Cricetulus griseus: one gene and its partners. The protein of the gene in region 3 interacts with the protein of the main gene of each other region in a pairwise test. Links are inferred from orthologs where the notes say so. Each region holds a gene or a part of one and is shown on either strand. Other genes may lie near its edges.

The links.
Region 1: the proteins of Sufu (region 3) and Hdx interact in binary tests that used the Homo sapiens proteins (3 or more experiments, as listed by UniProt). The link is inferred for Cricetulus griseus from reciprocal best matches to the Homo sapiens genes SUFU and HDX.
Region 2: the proteins of Sufu (region 3) and Rcn3 interact in binary tests that used the Homo sapiens proteins (3 or more experiments, as listed by UniProt). The two-hybrid records come from large-scale screens. The link is inferred for Cricetulus griseus from reciprocal best matches to the Homo sapiens genes SUFU and RCN3.

The regions. Positions count from the first base shown.
Region 1 is NC_048604.1:60,283,592-60,291,560, reverse strand, and holds the start of Hdx (highly divergent homeobox), read right to left. Parts: upstream 5,207-7,969; coding exon 5,060-5,206; intron 1-5,059.
Region 2 is NC_048599.1:153,965,231-153,973,112, reverse strand, and holds the start of Rcn3 (reticulocalbin-3), read left to right. Parts: upstream 1-2,676; 5' UTR 2,677-2,864; intron 2,865-3,189; 5' UTR 3,190-3,197; coding exon 3,198-3,436; intron 3,437-5,171; coding exon 5,172-5,374; intron 5,375-5,859; coding exon 5,860-6,032; intron 6,033-7,723; coding exon 7,724-7,784; intron 7,785-7,882. Other genes in the region: Fcgrt (IgG receptor FcRn large subunit p51), read left to right, coding at 475-744, 1,515-1,631, 1,793-1,902. UniProt on the Homo sapiens protein: Probable molecular chaperone assisting protein biosynthesis and transport in the endoplasmic reticulum.
Region 3 is NC_048596.1:15,123,270-15,130,465, forward strand, and holds part of Sufu (suppressor of fused homolog), read right to left. Parts: intron 4,147-7,196; coding exon 4,004-4,146; intron 3,293-4,003; coding exon 3,207-3,292; intron 2,975-3,206; coding exon 2,902-2,974; intron 613-2,901; coding exon 456-612; intron 1-455. UniProt on the Homo sapiens protein: Negative regulator in the hedgehog/smoothened signaling pathway. Down-regulates GLI1-mediated transactivation of target genes. Down-regulates GLI2-mediated transactivation of target genes. Part of a corepressor complex that acts on DNA-bound GLI1.

The DNA of each region.
Region 1 (7,969 bases), on a different chromosome or scaffold from region 3:
TAGTTTTAGAGCATTAACAGATAGAAGATTTAAGTGGAATGTAGTAGGCAGCTGGAAGAATAGTTAAAAGCAAACCAGTATTAAAGTTTAGATTTATTTTCAAAAGATCACTATTAAAATAGAAAACCTAAGGTAAGTATATGTGTTTGCTTATATGGCTGCTAAATAAAATACAATGAGCACATAAGAGTATCTCACTTGTCATGTTGACTCCATGTGCAAGGCAATTGCATTTTTAATCTTGGACATTTGATTTTTCCTGTTAGCTTACATATTTGTAAATTTCTTTCTACAGAGTCTCTAGCCCAGGCTCACCTATGTAGCCAAGGATAACATTGACATTGTGATCCCTACCCCTGGCCACCTTTACTTCCTTACCGTTGTTTACCATGCCACCCAGTTTATGTGTATAAAACCATGCTAGGCAAGTAGTCTACCAACTGAGCTATATTTCCAACCCAATTTTTTAAAGTACCAGTAAATTAATTGCACTTAGGTATCTGAGAAACATTTAAATTACATATAGTATTGATTTTTATTAGTTTGTTTTTAGTTTAGATGCATTGTTTCTTTTTCTTTTGAGACAGGGTATCATGTAGTCAGACTATGCCTGAACTTACCATTGCATTTTCTTTTCTTTTATTTCTCTTTGGGGACCTACCACCCAGCTCCAAAATCAATACACAGAGACTTTTTTTTTTTTTGGTTTTCTGAGACAGGGTCTCTCTGTGTAGCTTTGGAGCTTATCCTGGCACTCGCTCTGGAGACCAAACTGGCCTCAAATTCACAGAGATCTGCCTGCGTCTGCCTCCCGAGTGCTGGGATTAAAGGCATGTGCCACCAACGCCCAGCTCCGAGACTTATTCTTACTTACAAATGCCCAGACTTAGTTTGGCTTGTTTCCAGTCAGCTTTTAACTTAAATTATCCCATTTACCTTTTTACTCTGGGCTATACCTTTCTCTATTCTATATGTCTTTCTTCCCTCCTTACTCCATAGCTGGCTGTGTGGCTGTGTGGCTGTGTGACTGTGTGACTGTGTGGCTGTGTGGTTGGCCCCTGGTATCTTCTCTCCTTCTCCTTTTTCTCTAATCCTCATTCTCCTTTCTCTTCATATTTATTCTCTCTCTCTGGCAGCCCCAACTATCCCTCTGTTGCCTAGCTATTTGCCATTCAGCTTTTTTATTAGACCAATCAGGTTTTCTAGGAAGACAAAGTAACACAGCATCACAGAGTTAAACAAATGCAACACATCTTTGCATCATTAAACAAATATTCCACAGTATAAATGAATGTAACACAACTTAAACTATATTCCACAACATACTATATGGTACAGGATGAGCACACATTTCTAAACACTGTTTCCACCTTCCAAGTGCTAAGATCACAAGTATGCATAGCCACGCCTCCATGCTTGAATTCATGCTTTTAAATAAATACTGCATAGTAGAGACTGCAAAAATGTTTCACAATTAATTGAAATAAGATACTTGGAGTAAATTTTGTGGGAGGAATATAATCTCAAAAGGAAAACTTTTTCACATAATATAAGCAATAAAATTCCTAATTTAGTTCTGAAGAATTCTCATTGCACACTAAATGCTTGCAGGTTTTTTCTTGTTTTGTTTTTTTGTAAGGATCTTATGAACCTCAGGATGTCCTCAACATGGTATGTACCCAAATGTGATCTTGGACTCCTGATTCTCCCCTGCCTTTTTCTCCCCAGTGCTAGGATTAAAGGTGTGTCCCTAACCACACCTGATTTTAGAGTGCTTATTTTAAAAAATATGAGGTCTCAACCCTATACAAAGATCTATAATCAGCTTAGGAAAGCTTAGAGTGGGACAAAAAGTCTGCCCCAGGGAAGAGCACACCAACTGGTTTTACAATGCCAAATGGTCAGCTCTGAAAACATACATGCAAGTAACATATGGACTGAACAGGTTATACTCAGGAATATATGTATATACATATGCATACATGCATGCAATAACAATAAGTAAAAAAGAGGCCATGAATTTGAGGGATAATGAGGAGGGTATATAGGAGGGCTTGGGGCGAAGAAAAAGAAGGGAGAAATGTGATTATATTATGATCTCAATGAAAAAATCTGTATATTGACATTTTATCAATCACCTTACAGATATAACAAATTACAGCTCTTTAGGTTATAAACATTTAGAACATTCAAACAACCTTAAAGACTATTTTTGTGGATGGTATTTTCCTGCAAGAGTAGATTTTAGAATTTATAGAATTTTGGGGTTTATTTTAATGCTTTTGTTGCAATATCTGCTTTCTTAAGTCTTTGAAGTTTATACATTTGAGCAACTTCTTTTTTGAGACAGGGTTGAGCTATGTCGATAGTCCGGCTTTGAGAACCACATTGCCTCTGCCCCCTATGCTGCAATTACTGGTATGCACCACCACATCCAGCTCAGGAGTGCATTGAAAAAGCCATATAGTGTTTTCAAAAATTACACTTCTGATCCAGAAGAGATACAGAGCAGAATCATAAAAATAATGAAATGAAATTCATTAGTAAGCATAATTGACATATCCTAATAAAAACATTTAATCAGAAATCATTAAACAGCAATGAAAAACTAAGAGTTCAATTATTTCCCAAGTTCCCTATTGAAAAGTACAAAAATATATACTTAAGAAATGCTTGTACTTAAAATGTTAAAAGTAAAGAAAACTCATTGTTTGGGGGTTACAGTAATTAAACCTTACCCTAAGCTGCTCAGGTATAGGATCTAAAACTTATGCTTCTTAGATATAAGCACCCACCCTTTGCAAATACCTAATTCATCAAAAAGAAAATGAAAAATATGCCGTACAAAACAGGGGTTATGATAATCTAAGGTGACGATCTAGCAAACAGACTATACACAGGAAAAAAGAAATGAATTTGAGTTGCCAATATTTGTAAGCTATAAAATTCTTTCAGTTTTATCTTAAAAATGTACTACCTCTAAATTTCTTCTTTCAACACAATATTTTTGTAAAAATATCATCATCATTCTATAACCATTACCACTACTTAATATCAGAACATTTTTATTCTTTTTTTGGAAGGAGGATTGGCATACAAAAAATAGGTTTCATTATAGCATTTTCATACATTCATGTTCTAAATTTCTTTACCTTTTTCTATATCTCACTGTTTGTTTTCTTCATTTTGACTATTTTTGTTTGGATGTTTTATTCAACCTCTTAAATTCACTTTACACTTAGAGTGAATACTAAATATAATGGACTTACGTTCTTCTGAGGAAAAACACAATAACTTTATATTAAAAGTAATAATGATCTCTTTCAAGTGGGACACATAAACAGCAAAAGATGGGGGAGATCATAGATTTGCAAATCTGCAAACTACTTTGCTGAGCTTTTGACTGATTGGAAAAAGAATGGAAATTCAAAACAATGCATTTTTGTGCCACTGATGTTTTCCTGGAATGGAGAACTGATTGCTTTACAAAATTCCTTATATCTTATACAGTGTTATACTCACAATCCTACATTCTAAGAATTGAAATCTATTCTCATTGTTTTAGATTTTCACTTCACACTCAGTATAAATATAAATATCTATATTTCTACAATCTCTATAGTCAAAAACAATAAAATTAGTTATAAAGGGGAATAGTGCAATTGACAACTTTGAAATATGAGAGATGATCCACATTGCAGCTGCCTGGGAAGACAATTTACTTTAAAGTAATGCAAAGACAAAAGGGAAAAAAAAGTCCGAGGAAATAACATTTGGAAAAAAAGTTTATTTGTATAAAGTGCAATCTCAACAACTTGAAATATTTAATTATTTGTTAAAGATTTATTTATTTATTATGTATACAGTGTTCTGCCTGCACATGTACCTGCAGGCCAGAAAAGGACACCAGATATCATTACAGATGGTTATGAGCCACCATGTGGTTGCCAGGAACTGAACTCAGGACATCTGGACTGTTTCTCCAGCCCCCATATTTTATTTTTAGTAAAGTTATTAAACATTTTTCTTTGAGATTCAGTAGTAATTTAAAGTTATCAATAGAAGACATTTCTAGTTTTGACAGAAATGGGAATCCGATAGTTAATCTCAGACCATAAGAATACTTTTCCCTATAATAAACAGCATAATTTCTGTTTGAATGTGAAATAAATACTTTAGTTCTGAAGAACTTTGGAAACAGTTCTATCCAAAAATCTTTTCTCTAGGATCTTTGGAGGTATGATTGTACAGCACAATAAACTTGAAAAAGATATATCCCTTTTCCTCAAAATTAGCCGAAAGCCTGCCGTGTGCGGGAAAGTTGTGAATCTTTGAATCACTAAGGTTCCACACTAAAAGGATTTGTAAACTGTTTAAATAAACATGAAAGGACCAATGCATTCAATAAAGTTGGTCACTAGTTCTGTTAGATTTATCACTTGCCTCCTCTCTATCACCTCATTGCTGTTCAGTAATGTGTAGCAGCTTTGATTTTTTTCATAACAGGATAAGAATGGATTCAATAATTTCTTCCCTTGGGATTTCCTGTCTCTTACTCACAAACCATTAAATATATACATTTTACTTGGAAAGAAAAGGTATCCATAAAAACAACTGCACTTTCCTGAAAAATTAAAAAATGCTCAAATCCTAAATGTCTGAGGAAAAAGTCTAAATACAACAACAACAAAGCTAGGTACATGCAAATGCTTCCAAAAATCTCTTTCACTATTAATGTGGAGGCTCTATGTGTATTAAATGAGAGCTTCTAAAAAGCATATAATCAACATCCCATAATTAATGTTACCAGTATTTATTAGTTCAAAGATTTATATAAGAGATATGTCATACTGCAAGGGTTTTAGTGTTTCCAAGGTATTTATGAGAACGAATATGACTGTGTGTGGTATCTCTATTTATCAAAATAGTATTTTTACACTAGGGAAATGAAGCTGTGTATGAAGTTAGGACTTCATACCCTGAATAGTTTTTCTTATATTAAGCAAATATCATTTGTAATAAAAAGCTATAAATTCAAGTGCAAGACCTCAATACTTACCCTGACTACACTGAAGTCCAGCTTAGTCTCCTGTGCACACTGTAATATGAGCTGAAAGCAATTTTTACTTTGATTTGTCATTCCATTTTCATAATAACGCTGTAAAATCCTTTGTTGTTCTACAGTAAATACAGAACGTAGATTCATCTAAAAATAAAAAAAGATACTCTGAAAATTGCAATAAAAAATTGGGAGGTGTAGAATTTGAACACTTTTGTTTTATTGATACAATCTCAGTGCTTGTGCTGCACAATTTATTTAAATAAATTAATCCCCAGGAATGGGCTGTTATTTGTGTGCTAAAAGGAGACAGCTTCTCCCTGAAAAAAATATATACAAACATTTAATTTGCTCAGAAAAGCACAAACTTCAAAGTCAGAAACATAGAAAACGTAAAAGTAAAAGTAAAAAGGGAGGCGGGTTCTTATCTGGTTAGTGTCAGTACATGGGAAAAACGGTTTTCACTGAAATAAATATTTATGGCTAGTAAAGCCAGAGATGGTGTTAGCCATACACAGTCAATTATCAACAGGGACACTCACTGTTCTTTGTCAAAGAAAGCATCTGGCATACGTCTTATAACAGTCAGAAGCCATGCTCAAAAACAAAGGGAACTTTTTTTCTCATTCTGAGATATAAGGAGTTTTATTATATATTTAAAAACTTCTCTTTTAAATTTTTTCTTTGTTTTGTTTTTGCTCTTGAGATAGGAACTCATGTAGCCCAGGCTGGTCTCCAATTCCTTATGTTCCTGATTCTAGCAAGTGCTGGATTTACAAAGGTTCACAAACACCCTCAGCTCAACAAAACATTTCATTAAAAATTAGAAACAAAGCATAGGGACTAATAACCATGAATGTGCCTTTGCTTTATGTAATACTAATCAAACTAATTATTTTAATAACTATAGTATTTAAATGAAAATTCAAAATCAGTATAACTTTTAAAATTATTAAAAACATGTGGAAACTCTACTTTTTGTTGTTGTTGTTTTTTGAGACAGGGTTTCTCTGTGTATGTTTGGAGCCTAGTCTGGCACTCACTCTGGAAACCAGGCTGGCCTCAAATTCATAGCGATCTGCCTCCCAAGTGCTGGGATTAAAGGCATTTGCCAACGCCTGATGAAACTCTGAACTTTTAAATTCAATTGAATTAATCAAAATTAGGCAGTTTACTTTTCCTGCCAATAGATGAGATATTTAATACAAAGGGCTAAGAACTTTGTGTATTCCACAGGTAAATGGTAGGGCAAACTCTACTTTTAAAAGGATGAATCATAGTAATGCATTTTATAAAGAACATTTATAATTTGATTAAGGGAGCTTTAGGTTTTTATTTAAAAATCTGTCACACAAAGACTTTCCTGAGGAAAGTGGTTCATTAAAATTAGGAAAACTGCCATAACAAAACAACCTCAGTCAAACTAAATATTTTCCAAGTATATAATGTATTAAAACAATCAAGTTCATTAATATGGAAATACAAATTATTTTACTCTACTCTGAATACTTACTATAGTAAATATATCCAATAAAAATCAGTGAACTATAAAATATAACCATATACTACAGTTTGTTATTGTTATTTTTTTTTACTTTCTTCCTTGCTCACACAAGCCCTTCTCTAACTGTTAAGAGATTTGATTAGAGAAAATTAAATGTAGGAGAGGCCACAAGAGAAATAACAGTAGAGTATCTTTGAGGAACATTTAGAAATAAAGACCTCCATTAACTTTCTGAAGGAGAGTTCTGAAGGATGTTCAGTAATGTGGATGTCAACTTGACCAAACACTCAAGGATGATTGTAACAGTAGGTAGGGACAGTATCCATCAAAACAGTTTTGACTATTATGGCTTCCAACTCTTGAGTTTACCTAAATGGTTCAACTACAAGCAGAAGATGATCCAGAAGATGGAAGTCAAATACCTGAAATACCTCATCTGATTTAGAAACCAGGTATCATGCAATGGATTCTGAGGGTGGAAATTTTTAAATTATGAATGCATAATTAGAATAATCACTCTGATCCTTTCCTGTGCAGCTGTACCTACAGCAAAAACCTAAACTGCAGGATGTAGGTGATACCCAAGTGTGAGGATACCTCCCTAGAAATACTGGATGGACTATTTTCTTATTGGCTGACTGCAATCATTACACTTACCCAAATACAATATGATCCTTATAAAGAATGTCTCCACTGATAACTGATAATATTCAAATGTAAGAGACTGAGCACCAAATACATCTATAATTTTGGTAACAGGAAATGCTAAGGAATATTAGTCTTTCCCTTAAATTCAGCACCAATAGCAAAAAGACACTTTGCTCAAAGGAGCTATTTTTTCAAGTTACATAAATTCATTCTTTACTGTAACAACTAGATAACCCATCTGAACAAGATGTCATTATATCTACCCATACTAGCTATGTTTGTCTACCTTAAAGGAACATACAGCCAAATTTGTTAACCATTTACAAATCAGTAATAATTAGAAAAATCTTTTTAAAAACTGATCACTTTATGTAAAAAACAAAACAGCATGCCATCGATTATAGTCAGTGGATCAGCATGGAATGGAAAGATGGTCTGAATTGGGTGACCAAATATTGAAATCACGAATCATTTAGCCTTACCTCAAGATTTTCTAGTCTTACATTCTATGCATCTCCCAGCCACCCAGCACACACCAGACCATGGGAATAAGACAACCTGAATGCTACCTAAGTTGAAATGCTTACTATTCAGTAAATAACTTAATTTCCTTGAGCATACTGTTCGTGTTGTGTAAAATGCTGGGTTGCAAAATTTGACTTGCCTACTAATTAATCTCAGTTCCAACAAAACAGAAATTTTGGTTCACTTTTCTCAAATTTTCAACAATGTAATATTTATATTGGTAATATAAATAA
Region 2 (7,882 bases), on a different chromosome or scaffold from region 3:
CCCACATGGTAGCTCATAGCCATCTGTAACTCCAGTTCCAGGGGATCTGATGTCCAATTCTGGCCTCCATGGACACTGTATGCAGTGGTACACAGACACACATGCCAAAAACACCCTTATACATAGAGTGAAACATAAATGGAGAAAGAGCTGTAGAGGAAGACACCTGCTATGGACCTCTGGCCTTGACACACACACTCATACACACACACACACACACACACACACACACACACACACACACACACTCACCAAAATAAGGGGTGTGGGGGGATAAAGGAGGTGTTTTGGTGGGCTCAGCAGGGGACCTTCTAGGGTAGCAGGGTTGGTGTCTGTCACTCTGGAAAGCCCCCTGGGTCTGCACAGTGCTGATTTGGGGCAGGGGGTGTATGTCCATCACCAGTTTCTGCACTGAGCCTTGGGAGGGGTTCACAGCCCAGTTTAACTGCTGGCCCATCCCCTGTGTCCCCACAGAGCCACCCTCCATGCGCCTGAAGGCCCGTCCTAGCAACTCTGGCTCCTCCATACTGACCTGTGCTGCTTTCTCCTTCTACCCTCCTGAGCTGAAGCTACGATTCCTTCGTAGTGGGCTGGCCGCAGGCTCTGGGAACAGCAGCATCGGTCCCAATGGTGACGGCTCTTTCTACGCCTCATCATTGCTGGAGGTCAAAAGAGGAGACGAACACCATTACCAATGTCAGGTGGAACACAAGGGGCTGGCACAGCCTCTCACTGTGGACCTAGGTGAGGCTGTTCATCCAGCCTCGGAGTCTTCTTGCTTCTCCTGGATACTGACCCTGTATTAACCCTACCGCCAGTCCTCCTGAATCTGACCATCTTCTGTCTCAATGTTGCTGGTCTTCATAACTTCTGATCCCTCACTTTGCCACTGACAGTCCTTGCTGCGGCTTTCAGCTGACCCTCATCTGCTTTGATGCCTCTCCTTCCTCAGTTGGGTTTTCACCCAGCCTGCTCATAGTGTGGCTGTGACTTATATGGCTATTGTTCATATATATATATATATATATATATATATATATGCGTATATGTGGTGGTGGTAGCATACCCATGTAATTCCAGCACATGCTTACATGCTTATATATTTTATTTCCCTACATTCTTTATATGGGGGGGAAAGCAGAGGTGTGCTTGTGTCATGGCATACTTGTGAAGATTATAGAACAACTTGTGGGAGTTAGTTTTCTCCTTCCTCCATGTCAGTCATGGGGATCAAGTTCAGGCCATCAGGCTGAATGGCAAAGGCAAATGCCTTTACTCACTGAGCCTTCTTGTCAGACTAGATTTCTATCTTAGAGGTCTCCCGGCACTGGATATGGTACTGGGAACCGAACTGTGATCCTCTGGAAGAGCAGCCAGTGCTCTTACCAGCTGAGCCACTTCTCTAAGCACCAGTGTGGCTGGTTCCTGTATCCAGTGTCTGCACACCCCCACCCCTCTCTGCGGGACTCCTCAGCTGCTTTCTTCCCTGTTCTCATAACGCTTTCTGGCTGCAGATGTACCAGCCAGATCTTCTGTGCCTGTGATCGGAATCGTTCTTGGTTTCTTGGTGGTCATAGTGGCTGCTGCAGGGGGTGTACTGCTGTGGAACAGGATGCGCAGCGGGCTGCCAGGTGTGTGCCAGAGGGGGAGGGGCGGTGGGGGGAGAGAGAGACAGAGACAGGCCCTGGCCACCCTGGAGAAAGAGCTGGGGTCAGAGACAAGAGTGGCCCTCATGGCGTGTGGGATGATGACACCTTGGTTACAGATGCTGACCTCTGTTCCTCTCTCTTAGCCCCATGGCTTTCCCTCAGCGGTGATGACTCAGGTGACCTGCTGCCCGGTGGCAACTTGCCCCCTGAGGCCGACCCTCATGGTGCAAATACCTTTCCAGCCACTTCCTGATGTCAACTCAGACCTCCAATACACATTGCAGCATTTGGTGCTGTGTGACCTCCTGAACTCCTGGCATCTCTGAGCCTTCTGAGGGAGACCTGGGCCAGATGTTCTCCTTGTGGACTCCTCCTTTTGTGGCCTGCCTCAGTTTCCCTTCTTAATGTACATGGCTGTTTTCCATCTCCACAAAATAAAGTTGGGTCCAAATCTGTGTGTGCACTGTTATTGTCAAGTTTCAGGCTGCAGGAATAACTGAACGAGTTTGGGAAAAGATTATAGACTTTTCCTGGTTGCCGTGATAGAACCTGTCCATTTTATATACTTAGTTGTGTATTTTTAGTCATAAATGTAAATGATACATACCTACACTGTGACAGGAATTTCAAGGAATTCAGCTTTCCTGTTCTTTCTCCTTTCTTTCTTTCTTTCTTTTTTTCTTTCTTTCTTTCCTTCTTTCTTTCTTCCCTCCCTCCCTCCCTCCCTCTCTCCCTTTCGAGATAGTGTGTCTCTCTCTAGTCGTAGCTGTCCTGGAACTCGCTATGTATATACCAGGCTAGCACCGAACTCATAGAGATCCACCGCTTCTGTCTCCCAAGTGTAGGAATTAAAGGCAAGAGCCACCAACCCCTACCTCCTCCCTAAACCAATCTGAGAAATAAGAAAATGGCTTAAAAAATACTTTTCCCTTAATCTTCTGGGGCCAGAGCCTCTGGAGGTGGCAGTGAAGGTTGCCCTAAGCCTGCTGGGAGTTGTAGTTCAAGACTGCTTTCCAGGCTAGCGCTCCGCCGTGTGGACGTGGCGAGGGGCTCCCGGGACACTCTTGGCGCTCATTGGCTCCGCTATTGATCAGAGGGCGGGGCCTCTGGGCTGCCAGGGGCGGAGCTTGACTGGCGCCGCGCCAGGTTGGGCATCCTTGCTGGAAAGCGAGTTCACCGTGCTTCTCGAACCCAGGCCTGGTAACGGGAGTAAAGGTGGGGAGCTAGCCAGGGAGGGGGTTTCGGGTGGGGGTCGCGCGCGGTCAAGGCTGGGAGCCACGCAGAGGACCCTGCATGATGCTTTCAGCCACCACCATTCCCTGAGCTTTGCATGAACGTGCCACGTCTCCAACTGAACACCCACCAGCTTCTCCCCACCTGCAGACTCCCTATTCTTTTTGCCGACTTTTCTTGAGCCCCAAACCTTGTAGCCTGCATATATCTGCCATGCGTTAGGCAGCCCCTAGCTTTGAAGTTCTCTCCATATTTCTGGTTCAGATTTTTACCCCCGTATGATCCTCTGACCCCACTTCTCCCCAAGGACCGACGATGTGGCGATGGTCGCTTCTGTTGCTTTTCTTGCTGCTGAGGTGGTGGGCCCTGGGGAAGCCATCCCCTGACGCCGGGCCTCATGGCCATGGCAGGGTGCATCAGGGAGCCCCCTTGAGCGAGGCCCCCCACGATGACGCCCACGGCAATTTCCAGTACGACCACGAGGCGTTCCTAGGACGAGACGTGGCCAAGGAATTTGACCAACTCAGTCCAGAGGAAAGCCAGGCCCGACTCGGGTAGGATGCCGGGAGCCGGGCAGAGGTGGGAGGTGGGGGAGAATTGAACTCACTGAAAAGGTCAGAGGCAGGAGACTGGACAGAACTGTGGTACTCACCTCCTGGGCAAAGGCAGAGTTAAACCTGAGGCTGTGGGGGACCTGTGTCACCAACACCCCTCTACTTCCATGCCTCTGTCTGGACTTTCCTATTCTGTCTTAGCTTCTCAATTGGTCACCAACTCTTCATAGAGACTGAAGAAATGAAATTTGAGAAGGTTCCCAAGCTCAGAATTCAGATTCAACTGGGAGGGATGGAGTCCGAGACTCCATCTGGAGGAGATTGGCCTGTATCTGTGTGGAGGACACAGTTAGCATGGCCCTGGAGACAAGAAGGCCACTCTTTGCATATATGCTTTAGAATTATCATCATCGTTATTTTGAGATAGAAACTCACAGTGTAGCACTAGCTGGCCTGGAACTCATTATGTAGACCAGAGTGGTCTAGAATGCAGAGATTCGCCTGCTTCTGCATCCTGGGTGCTGGGATTAAATAAAGGTGTGCGCCACCAGGCCCGGCTAACCAGTTGTAATTTTAAACTGGGCCAGTAGTGGCATTGAAAGGTTGCGGGACTGACCTGGAGACAGAGGACCCAAATTGATCTGCCCGTTCAGGGAAGTGGGTGGAGCTCGAGTCCACAGGCAGGCTGAGCCTGACCGAGTGGCCGGCCCTGAGATGGCAAGAGGTGGAGCTTCAAGGTTAATTGAGACTAGGGTGCGGGTAAGAGGCCGGACAGACTCGCTGTTACCACTTCAACTCAATTCACCTAGGGTTGAGGTCTGTGCAGAGCTTTGAGGAGGGGTTAGAGTAGAGGGTGTGGCCTTGGTTTGAGCCAGGTGCTAATCCACATCTCCTGTAGGGGAAGGGCTAGGCGAAGAGCGCGGGCGTCTGGATGGGCTGGATGCTGAGATTAAATGTGTCTCTCAGTTCATCTGGTCCCCTTTCGAGTTGCGCACGGCAGCATCTCTGAGGAACCGAGTTAGTGCGGGCAAAGACCTGCCAGTGACAACCTCCTCCTCATACTGGCTGGAGCACAGCTTTAATCCCGGCACTCAGGAGGCAGAGGCAGGCGGATCTCCGTGAGTTCAGGACCAGCCTGGTCTACAGAGTGAGTTCCAGGACAGCCAGAGACTACACAGCGAAACCTTGTCTTGAGAAACAAAATTTCTCTCGCGCGTTGTTTTTGTTTTCTTTTGAGACAGAGTCTCTCTACATAGCCCTGGCTGTCCTGGAGACTAGGCTGGCCTCGAACTCACAGAGATTCTCCTGCTGGGATTAAAGGCGTGCATTACCTCACCCCACTTTTTTTAATTTTAAAAAGATTTATTTATGTTAGAGTATGACTGTGGGTGTCTTTCCTGCGTGTATGTGCATCATGAGTGTCTTTCCTGCGTGTATGTGCATCACGAACATGTCTGGTGCTCACAGAGGCCAGAAGAGGGTGATGGACTCCCTGGAACTGGAGTTTCAGATGCTTTTGACTCAAACCCCAGGTCTACAAGAGCAGCCAGGGCTCTTAACCAACCGAGCCATCACTTAAGTCCCCATTTTTTGGTCTTATGTAGGTACAAGCGTGTCTCTGCCTGCACGAAAGGAAGGGGCTTAGGTGGGCGAGGGTCAAGATTGAGATTGACTGCATCTCTATTCTAGCGTTGGGGCCTCATTGGGCAGGGAATGACACTTGTTCCCCTTGCAGGCGGATCGTGGACCGCATGGATCTTGCTGGAGACAGCGATGGCTGGGTGTCCTTAGCCGAGCTCCGCGCGTGGATCGCTCACACGCAGCAGCGGCACATCCGTGACTCGGTGAGCGCTGCCTGGCACACCTACGACATGGACCGCGACGGGCGCGTGGGTTGGGAGGAGTTGCGCAATGCCACGTATGGCCACTATGAGCCGGGTATGCCACCTTACCTTTGACCTTTGACCTCTCTTTTAGGACTTTATCACTGATACTTCTCCATTTCTGATCTGGCTTGTTCTTCCTTCTGAGATCCATCCTATGTGACAAGTTGACTGGAGACTTAACATTCCAGATCAGGAACACTTACCATCTGTGTGCTGTTGTCCTGACCCCATCTCTGTTTCTTTTTGGGACAGTCTTTCTATGCATTTCTGGTGTCTTAGTGTTGCTGTGGTGGAACATCCTGACCAGAAGCAAGTTGGAGAGGAAAGAGTTTATTTGGCTTCTGCTTCCACGTCATAGTCCATCACTGAAGGAAGTCAGGACAGGAACTCAAGCAGGGCAGGAACCTGGAGGCAGGAGCTGATGCAGAGGCCTGGGGAGTGCACCTTACTGACTTGCTCCCGTGGCTTGTCTGTTTTGTTTTTCCAGACAGGCCTCACCTCTGTGACCATGCATCTCACCCACCTCTTCCTTTCCAGGGGAGGAATTTCACGATGTGGAGGATGCTGAGACCTACAAGAAGATGCTGGCTCGGGATGAGAGGCGATTCCGGGTGGCGGACCAGGATGGGGACTCCATGGCCACCCGGGAAGAGCTGACGGCCTATCTGCACCCTGAGGAGTTCCCACACATGCGAGACATCGTGGTTGCTGTGAGTGAGACTGCAGAGAGCCTGCTTCCCAAACCTGTCCTAGGTCCCCATATCTTCCACACAGATTCCAGGCCACCAACATAGATGTGGGGACAGCAGCCTCCCCGTCTCCTCCACACCCAGAGCCTGGTATCTCCTTGTCAGACCTGCTTGTGCTCTCATTGGTGTCCAGTCCCTGGCCCATGCCCAGACAGCCACATCCTCGGAAGAGCCTCAGGTGAACCCCAGTAGTGTCTGGGCCCCAGAAAAACATAGTTTATTTGACATGCACTTATCATACCCCATAAGTTAAGTATGTCTCAGATACCAGGTGTGGAACAGATAGTTGTAAGCTGCCCACTGTGGGTGCTGGCAACTGAACCCAGGTCCTCTGTAGGACAGCCAGTGCTTTTGTTTTGTTTTGTTTGTTTTTTGAGACAGGGTTTCTCTGTGTTGCCCTGGCTATCCTGGAACACACTCTGTAGACCAGGCTGGACTCTTTGAACTCACAGAGATCCACCTGCCTCCTGTGTGCTGGGATTAATGGCGTGCGACACCACGCCTGGCTAGCCCTGGGTTTATAATTGTGTACCACCCAGGCCCATTGTATGTGGGTCTTGAGTAACCCAGCTCAGGCCTCCATGTTTTTGTGGCACTGCAGTTTACCAACTACACTGTCTTCCCAGATCCTGAAGGTGTTTTGTAGGGTAGTTGATAGAATCCAGTGAATATGCTAATCAAGGCCTGTACTTCTGAGCCACACCCCCAGGACTTCACTGGGGGATTCTGGGTAAGGGGCTTTATTGCTGAGCCACACCCTCAGTATTTGGTTGCATCATCTTCTACTGAATTAGTTTGAATGTAAAAGTGGGGAACATGCTGGGCGTTGGTGGTGCACGTCTTTAATCCCAGCACTCAGGCGGCAGAGGCAGGCGAATCTCTGTGAGTTCAAAGAAGGCTAGCGTGGTCTACAAAGCTACACAGAGAAACCCTGTCTGGAAAAACAACAACAACAACAACAAAGTGGGGAACAGAAACCTTTTTTTTTTTTTTTTTTTTTTTTTTGGTTTTTCGAGACAGGGTTTTTCTGTATAACAGCTCTGGCTGTCCTGGAACTCACTTTATAGACCAGGGTGGCCTCAAATTCACAGATATTTGCCTGCCTCTACCTCACAAGTGCTGGGATCAAAAGCACTAGCCACCACGTCAGGCCCAAAAACGATTTTTTTAAATTAGGACAGATAACATGAAGAGTAGGCATGGTGAGTGTATGTGTCAAAAAATGATCCACGAAGAAGATGGTCTGATGGCTAAGAGCACTTGCTGTTCTTGTAGAAGGTTGGGGTTTGTTTTCGGCACCACTGTCTGTAACCCCAGCTCTGCAGGGTCTGATGTCCTTTTTGGCCTTGGGGCATTCTGCATGCACACGGTACATGCGGGCAAAACATCGGCACATAGAAAATACATAATTCATGAATCAGGCATGGTGTGCATGGCTTTAATCCTAGACCTCAGGAGGCAGAGTTCAAAGCCAGCCTGGTCTACAAAGTGAGTTTGGCCAGCCAGAGCTACACAGTGAGAGCTGGGCAAGTTTGGACACAAAGGTTTCCTGGCTGCCTTCCACTGTCACCTTCAAATCTCCCAGCTTTCCTCTCTGTGGAGACTGCTCAGATGCAGGCACACTGACCCTCCATCCCAATGCCTCTCTCCAGGAGACCCTGGAGGACCTTGACAAGAACAAAGACGGCTATGTGCAGGTGGAGGAGTACATCGGTGAGCAAGCCCCCATTCCGCCTGAGGCCTGTTATCTCCTGGCACCAAGGAGAGCAGTGGCCTTACTCTACTTGTATCAAACACCCATTGTGTGCAGA
Region 3 (7,196 bases):
CGCCATGCCACCGCCTCTTGAACTACAATGTAGGGCAGTGCGGGGGCTCACACTCAGGCCACTCTCATTAAAAGCCTAGGCAGGCCCAAGGAGAGAGATCCACAGGCTTGGCTTGACATGGCCGTTAGGAGGAGCCAGGATCGGTGTCAGTGCTGTGGGCAGTGGACATTTGCTGTCATGTCTTCAGGTGGACTGTGGACTTTTTCTGTTAACTGTTCCATGGCTCTCACGAACATACATGGCCTCAGATTCCAAGGGGCAGGGTATACACACAGTTCCCACGGATGTGTTCGAAACACACACAGATAACAGCTACAAACAGGCCAAATTAGCTCATATGTTCAACCCACTGGAAAAATTCATTTGTCAGAAAATAAACCAGAGTGGACTGTTTGGTTAAAGATTTGTCCAGGGAGCCTGAAAGGCAAGGGGGGAAGGCAGGGGAAGGCCCCAACCTTTGCCAGAGAGCCTCCGGGGCTGTGTGCCGATGCAGATGCTCCGGCTATCCTCATCGTCCTCGGGAGGTCGGCTGAGGTCATCCCAGGCACACTTGGCACTGACACCGCTCAGGTTAGAACCATCTGTCTCGATGCCTTTGTCAACTCTCTCCTGCTTGAAAAGAACCAAAGAGTCAGAGTTCCCTCAGAGAACTGGTGGCCCAAGGATACCACCACCCACCCACCCACCCAGCCACTATTCTTCTAGTGTTGGCTGTGTAGACGCTGAGTGTGGACAGCTGCTGTAAGACCAGGGTCTCTTTGACCTTGTTCTCTGACTCTATGCACAGTGGCTTCTGCCAGCCCCTGGACTCCTCTGGGGAACGGGATTAAGGGAAGCCAGGAGAAATGAAGGCACCATGGATGCTTCCTTCCCATCAACCCCCATTACCACGGCCTTTGTGGCTCTTCTAGTCCTGAGAGCCCTCAGAGCTGATTAGCTGAGATATGATCTGCTTTTCTCAGGAAAGGCATGAAGTCTTCCCCTCTTCCTGATCCAACAATGGCCATTGCCCACCTACCTACAGGAGTTAGGGTGTGAGCCTGCCTGCCGGGACTTGGGAACCCATACCTGCAGTTCCTCATTATAACAGCTAGAGGGGGCCATCGTTCCAGAGCAGACGTGCTCTCTGTCCATAGGTGCCAGCTAACTTTGGCAAAGGGTTTTGGATAGGGTCCTTTTCTACTTCTGAGGCTGAGATGGGGGTCTGGAGGGCAGTGACTGTTGTACACTTCCCCCAGAGACCCTGCCTTTGTGTAGACATTGGCACTGCTAAGTCTAAACTTTCTCCAAATGGCCTCAAGGAAGAGCTGTGCTCAAAACATCCCAGGTTTTCTGGTAAAACATAGTTCTGTGGTGCTGGGCTCTGGATCAAAGGTCATCTGGTAGACTTTAGCACCCTTGTCCATAAACAGCCATGTAGGTCAAGTAAACCTGTGACTATGCACCTCAAAAACAAAACAAAACAAAACTAAAAAAGCTCACACTTCCCTGTGCCAGCCGGTCCCTGTCCAGGGCTGCCAGACAAGGACATTGTTCTTATGCCTTGGTCACAGGAGGCCTCCTCCCTATAAGTCACCCTTTCTTCTCTCTCCTGGTGCTGTCCTCGGCCTGGGTGAGGCTGGAGGCAGGCAGGCCACAGCTCTAGGCGCTCTATGCCTAAGTAAAGGTGGGCAGGAGCAGGTCTGCCAGGGGAGAGCATGAGTTTTCCTGCCAACCACTGCCCTGTCCATAGGTGCCAGAAAGGCACAAGCAAATAGTACTGATAATGGGGCCACAGGAAAACAAGCTACATTTTCTCCCATTGGCTTCTTGCTTGAAGGTAATGACCATAGGGTGTTATGGATCCTGCTGGCTGGGGTCTCAAGAGAGCCTTGGGTAGTTTTTGGCACTCATGACAGGAGCCAAACAAGAGTCCACAGTGCCGCATGCTGGATCCCAGTGTGGCTGCAGAAGGAGGGCTTAGGGATGGAGCTGTCATGACTTCTGGCTTTTGCATAAGCAGAAGCTACAAAGAAAGTAAGTTCAAAGTAGAGATAACAAAAGATCCTGGCAGCAGTGTGAGCATTTCAGGGTTAAAGGTACCCAGAGAGTGGAGGAGCCTCATCTGTGAATGAAGAGGACATGAACCCAAAAGCTCACAGGTCAGCAGCAACCAACTTCAGGGGCTGCAGGCTACATGTCTCTCTTCACCTGCCTAGTCGCTGCTGTGGCCTGAGGGAGCCTTGCAGAAGCTGGGAAGTTCAGAGATGGCCGTGACCTGCCTCTGATGGCACGGTGAGCAGAGAGAGCCAAACACAAGGCAGACATGTGCTCTGCTGCCCCTACACAGGGTGCAAGAAATGCAGCAATGCTCTGTGGCTTCCAAAATCCAGTGGGTGCCAAACAAGCATCTCGAGTTCTCAAGCAGCAAAGGTGACAGTGACACTGTCCAGGCAGCCACAGTGGGGTCTAAAGACTCCTTTACAATGACAGGGTCATTAGACCACTCAGCACTCACCCTGCAGCTGGGCTGAGGGGTCAACATAGCCCGTGCTGCAGTCAGACACAGGGAGGGTGGCTCCCTGAAAAAACGTGTGCTAAGAAGGGGGAGGAGGGAAAGGAACACAGGGCAAGGAGACAATACTCCTTGATTACCTTCCTTTGGTGGTGGTAGTCTAATTTTGATACATAATTTACGTACACTAAAATCCATTCTTTTAAAATGCACACAGACATTTAAAAGTACAGGCTTGCTTTTCTGGGCTGGAATCTGTTTTCTTATATGGGGTATTCAGGGAACACATTCTAGACCATGCCATATTTCTACTGGCTCACACACAAAGCTCCTCCTTTTTCTCGGGATGGAAGCCAGTGGTTATCTGGAAGTGTGTGCTAGCAAGGTTTTCCTCACTCAAGACATACTTGCAGGTGTGGATCGATCTCAAATATGGTTTCTCCCCTCCGCATGTCAGTTATCAGCCAGGGACCACCGGCACTGTGGACAAGGAGAGACAGAGGTACCTGAGGGTCTGGACTGATCATTAGTCAGCAGCTTTCCTATTTGCTGTCCCACCCAGAACACACAGGACACTGTTAGTGGTCAGGGACCATAGAGAAATGAGTGTTCCAACAGCAAAGCAAAGGACCCTTCAGGTGGGATGGAGGGAGGACACCCACCCCCAAGACCCAGGGGTCCAGGCCTCCACCTTACAGGGACGTATACTCACACAGGCACTGTTCTCAGCAGTTCCAGGATGCCCTGCCCATTCCACTGCTGGGCCGAGTGTAGCTCCTCAGTGCAGACACCGACGATCTGCGGCCCAGGACAAGACGCCATTGTGTTTTAATGGCCATCCCTCCTGGATGTCTAGCTACCCAGGCTCTCTCAGGCGCATCTCAAGGAGGGGGCACACAGGCAAAGTTTGTGTTTCTAGGCTGGTGGCTCCCTTAGGAGGTGCTACCTAGTTGGGAGGTTCCTGTGCCCACAGACAGGCACCAAGACCTGACCAGGTATCTAGTGGCACAGAGCCTAGCTCTTGGCTGTAGAAGAAACGAGGGGCAGCTTGAGCCACAGCATGGCAGGGCCTCCCTCAGGCCAGGTATTTAGAGGCAGGGGGTGGTCAGGCAGCTGTTCCTGCAATAGCTGTATCTGTATAAATCTCTAGGATACCAGTTGAACCTTCACCTAGCCCTCATTAGATGCTGCAAGCAAGCATGGGCAGCAGCTGGGGAGAGTCACACCCACTGGGGAACGGTAACCCTGGAGCTGGATGTCGCTCTTGCCCCTGCCATTGCAGACGGTGGAATCGTCTCATCTGCATTTAGACAGACCATCATGGGGGAAGAGAAGACCACCCTGCCATTGCAGACGGTGGAATCGTCTCATCTGCATTCAGACAGACCATCATGGGGAAGAGAAGACCAAGAGGAGCCTTCTGCCCGGCCACTTCCCCTCTCCAAGTCCACCTGTGTTCTAGACTCTCCCCACAAGGATGAAATGTCTGAAGCTCTCGCAGCATCTCACCTGCAGGAAGGTAACTACCCCAAAAGGGGTCTGCACAGGCTGCATCTGTGGGTCTTCCGTCAGCAGCATGTGCTGAATTCTTGACTCACTGTTATCCAAAGGGCTGTGCCAAGACACATGGTCCCCGCTACAGAAGGTGTTCTCTGTGGAAAGACAGGAGGATCCTCAGCACTTGGATCCAGACCTGGAATCTGCCCTGAGACTCAGAAGCTCAGGTCGGGAGGCCCTGCAGCCTCCTAGAACAGCTGGATGCACTCCTGGGAGACTCCCCAGCCTCCTAGAATAGCCTGGTGAGTCCATACCCAATACAAGCAAAGCATTGCAGCTACTCCCAAAACACCAAATGGTCTTGGATGACCCAACGTGTTTGCCTTTGCTGGTGTGCTACTGGTGTGCATGCTCACTTAGCCCAGGAAGGCCTAAGAATTCTAGCATCCACTGTGTTTCTCCAGTGCCCTTACACACAGAGAAGGAGATGATCAAGTAGGCCAAGAATGAGGTGCTTTCCACTGTGGCCACTGGGAAGCAGGGAAGCTGGAAACAGTGGGAATTCTTGGAAAAACTCCCCGGGATTTCTGTGCTGGCAAATCAGTGCAGAAAGGGAGCACTCAGCCTCATAGAAATCTGCTGCTAGTTTCCCACAAGCAGATTTGGGGATTTCTGAGGAACACTGGAGACTTGGGGTAAATGGAGGTCAGGACAGTGCCTTGCACACCTCAGGAGACTGTGCTGCTGAGGGGTGGCTGCCTCTGTGAGGGCACAGTGACCCCAGACTCAGTACCATGCTTCACGAAGGCCTAAAAAAAAAAAAAAAAAAAAAAGAGCCGGGAGTGGTGGCACATGTATGCAATCCTAGCATTCAGGAGGTTACAGCAAGAGGATAAGTTGAGGCCAGCCTGTGCTACCTGCCAACACTGCCTCAAAAAACAAAACCCCAAGAGGAACATGCTTATGGCAGCAAAGCCATAGGGGAGCACTCCCATGTAGTCAGAGCCTCCACCCTGACCCTTGCCTTGAGCATGCAGAGCGTGTGCACCTACAGGGTTCCCAGGCTGGCCTCAAACTCCCTAGGGTGACCTCAAACTTCTGAACCTCCCATATTCACCTCCAAGTGTGAGACAGGTGCCGCCATGCCCAGCTGCTGGTGTCCTTTTAAAATGTTCATGGGTGTTTTGACTGCTTGTATGCCTGTGCTCCACTTAGGTGTCTGGCACCTGAGGGGGCCAGAAGAGAACATCAGATCCCCTGGAACCGTAGTTTTAGATGTCTATGAGCTGACGTGTGTGCTGAGAATCCAACCTGGGTCCTCAGGAAGAGCAGCTGGTCCTTTTAACCACCAAGCCATTTCTCCAGTCTCCCTGGGAGAGAGACCCAGGGCTGTGCACGATAGGCAAGCACTTTATGAGCTCCAAATGAGCTCAGTTGCCAGCTTCCCTCCATTTCCCCTGTGAACATGGATGGAGAGCACAGCTTTCCACAGCTCTCTCATTCACATAGCTCAGAGCTCATTTCGCATCCGCTTTGCAGAGAGGCGCCTTTGCTAAAGGTCCACAGCACATGGCAAGGCAGGGCATAGCACACATCCATGCACGCCTGCACACACCTCGAAGTTTCTGCCTGTCATTGTCTTGTCTTGACTGAACTCTCATTCCTTCCTGCGCCACCTGATATTACCCAGCCATCGTTCCCAGCCAGAATTGGGGTGCGGGGGGGATGGGGGGATGGGGGGATGGGGGGATGGAGGGATGGGGAGATGGGGGGATGGGGATGGGGGATGGGGGATGGGGGATGGGGGATGGGGGGATGGGGGATGGGGGTGATGGGGGATGGGGATGGGGATGATGGGATGGGGGGGGATGGGGGGATGGGATGGGGGATGGGGATGGGGGATGGGGATGGGGGATGGGGGATGGGGATGGGGGATGGGGATGGGGGGATGGGGGGATGGGGGGGATGGGTGGGGAGATGGGGGGTGGGGGGTGGGGAGTGTGTGTCCATACTTCAACAGTGTTCCTTCAGGAGGGAGAGGGAGGACGGTTTCCCCAGGAGACCCAAGGGGGAAAGTGGAGAAGCGGGGGCCAGGATGGTGAGAAACCCTCCAGTTTCGGGACTCCCACTTGCATGTTCCTGAACCCCTCTCTCCTTTCACTGCCACGTCTATAACCAGCTTCCTGGGAAGTAAGAAACAGCTTGAGACACTGAGCTAATAATTAAAAACCCTCACCAGACAGCCACCTACAATCTAGACCCTACTGACACTGAGGATTTAAGATTTTTTCACAAGTCTTTCCAAAAATGAAAAAGAAGCATTTCTCAGTTCATTAGATGATGCCAATACTATCCTGAAACCAATATCAGACAAACAAATTTAAGAAAATGGAAAAAGGAAACCATAGACCAATATCAGTTATTTATACAGAAAAAAAATCCCAACAAAATACTAGCAGGCTGAATCTAGCAACATATAAAAGAGGTTATATACAAAGGCCAAGTGGGATTCATCCCAGAAATCATAGCTTGATTTAATTTAAAAATCAATATAAAATGGCTGCGGATGGAGCTCAGTTGATAGAGTGTTTGCCTTGCATGCATGAGGCCCTGGGTTTGTGCCCCAGCACCCACCAGGTGTGCTGTTAGACATCTGTAATCCCAGCACCCACCAGGTGTGCTGTTAGACATCTGTAACCCCAGCACCCACCAGGTGTGCTGTTAGACATCTGTAATCCCAGCACCCACCAGGTGTGCTGTTAGACATCTGTAACCCCAGCACCCACCAGGTGTGCTGTTAGACATCTGTAATCCCAGCATCCACCAGGTGTGCTGTTAGACATCTGTAATCCCAGCACAAGGAAGTGGAAGTAAAAAACATCAGACATTGGGGGTGAAATGGCTCAGTGAATAGAAGGCTTGTATGGTGAGCCTGAGTACCTAGGTTCAGTCTCTGGAACCCACAGTAGACAGAGACTTGCCCCTGAAAACTGTCCTCTGACCTCCACGTGTGTGCCATGGCCCATGCATGCTCACACTCACACACACAGGCATCATATTACATACACAATAATAAAACTGAAAAAAAAAAAAAGAATCAGGGTCACACAGTGAATTTAATGCAAGCTTGTACTGCAGTTCCTGTCTATGGGAATAAATATTAGGAAACAGAAAGGGAAAAAAAAAGTCACAAAATCTAATACCT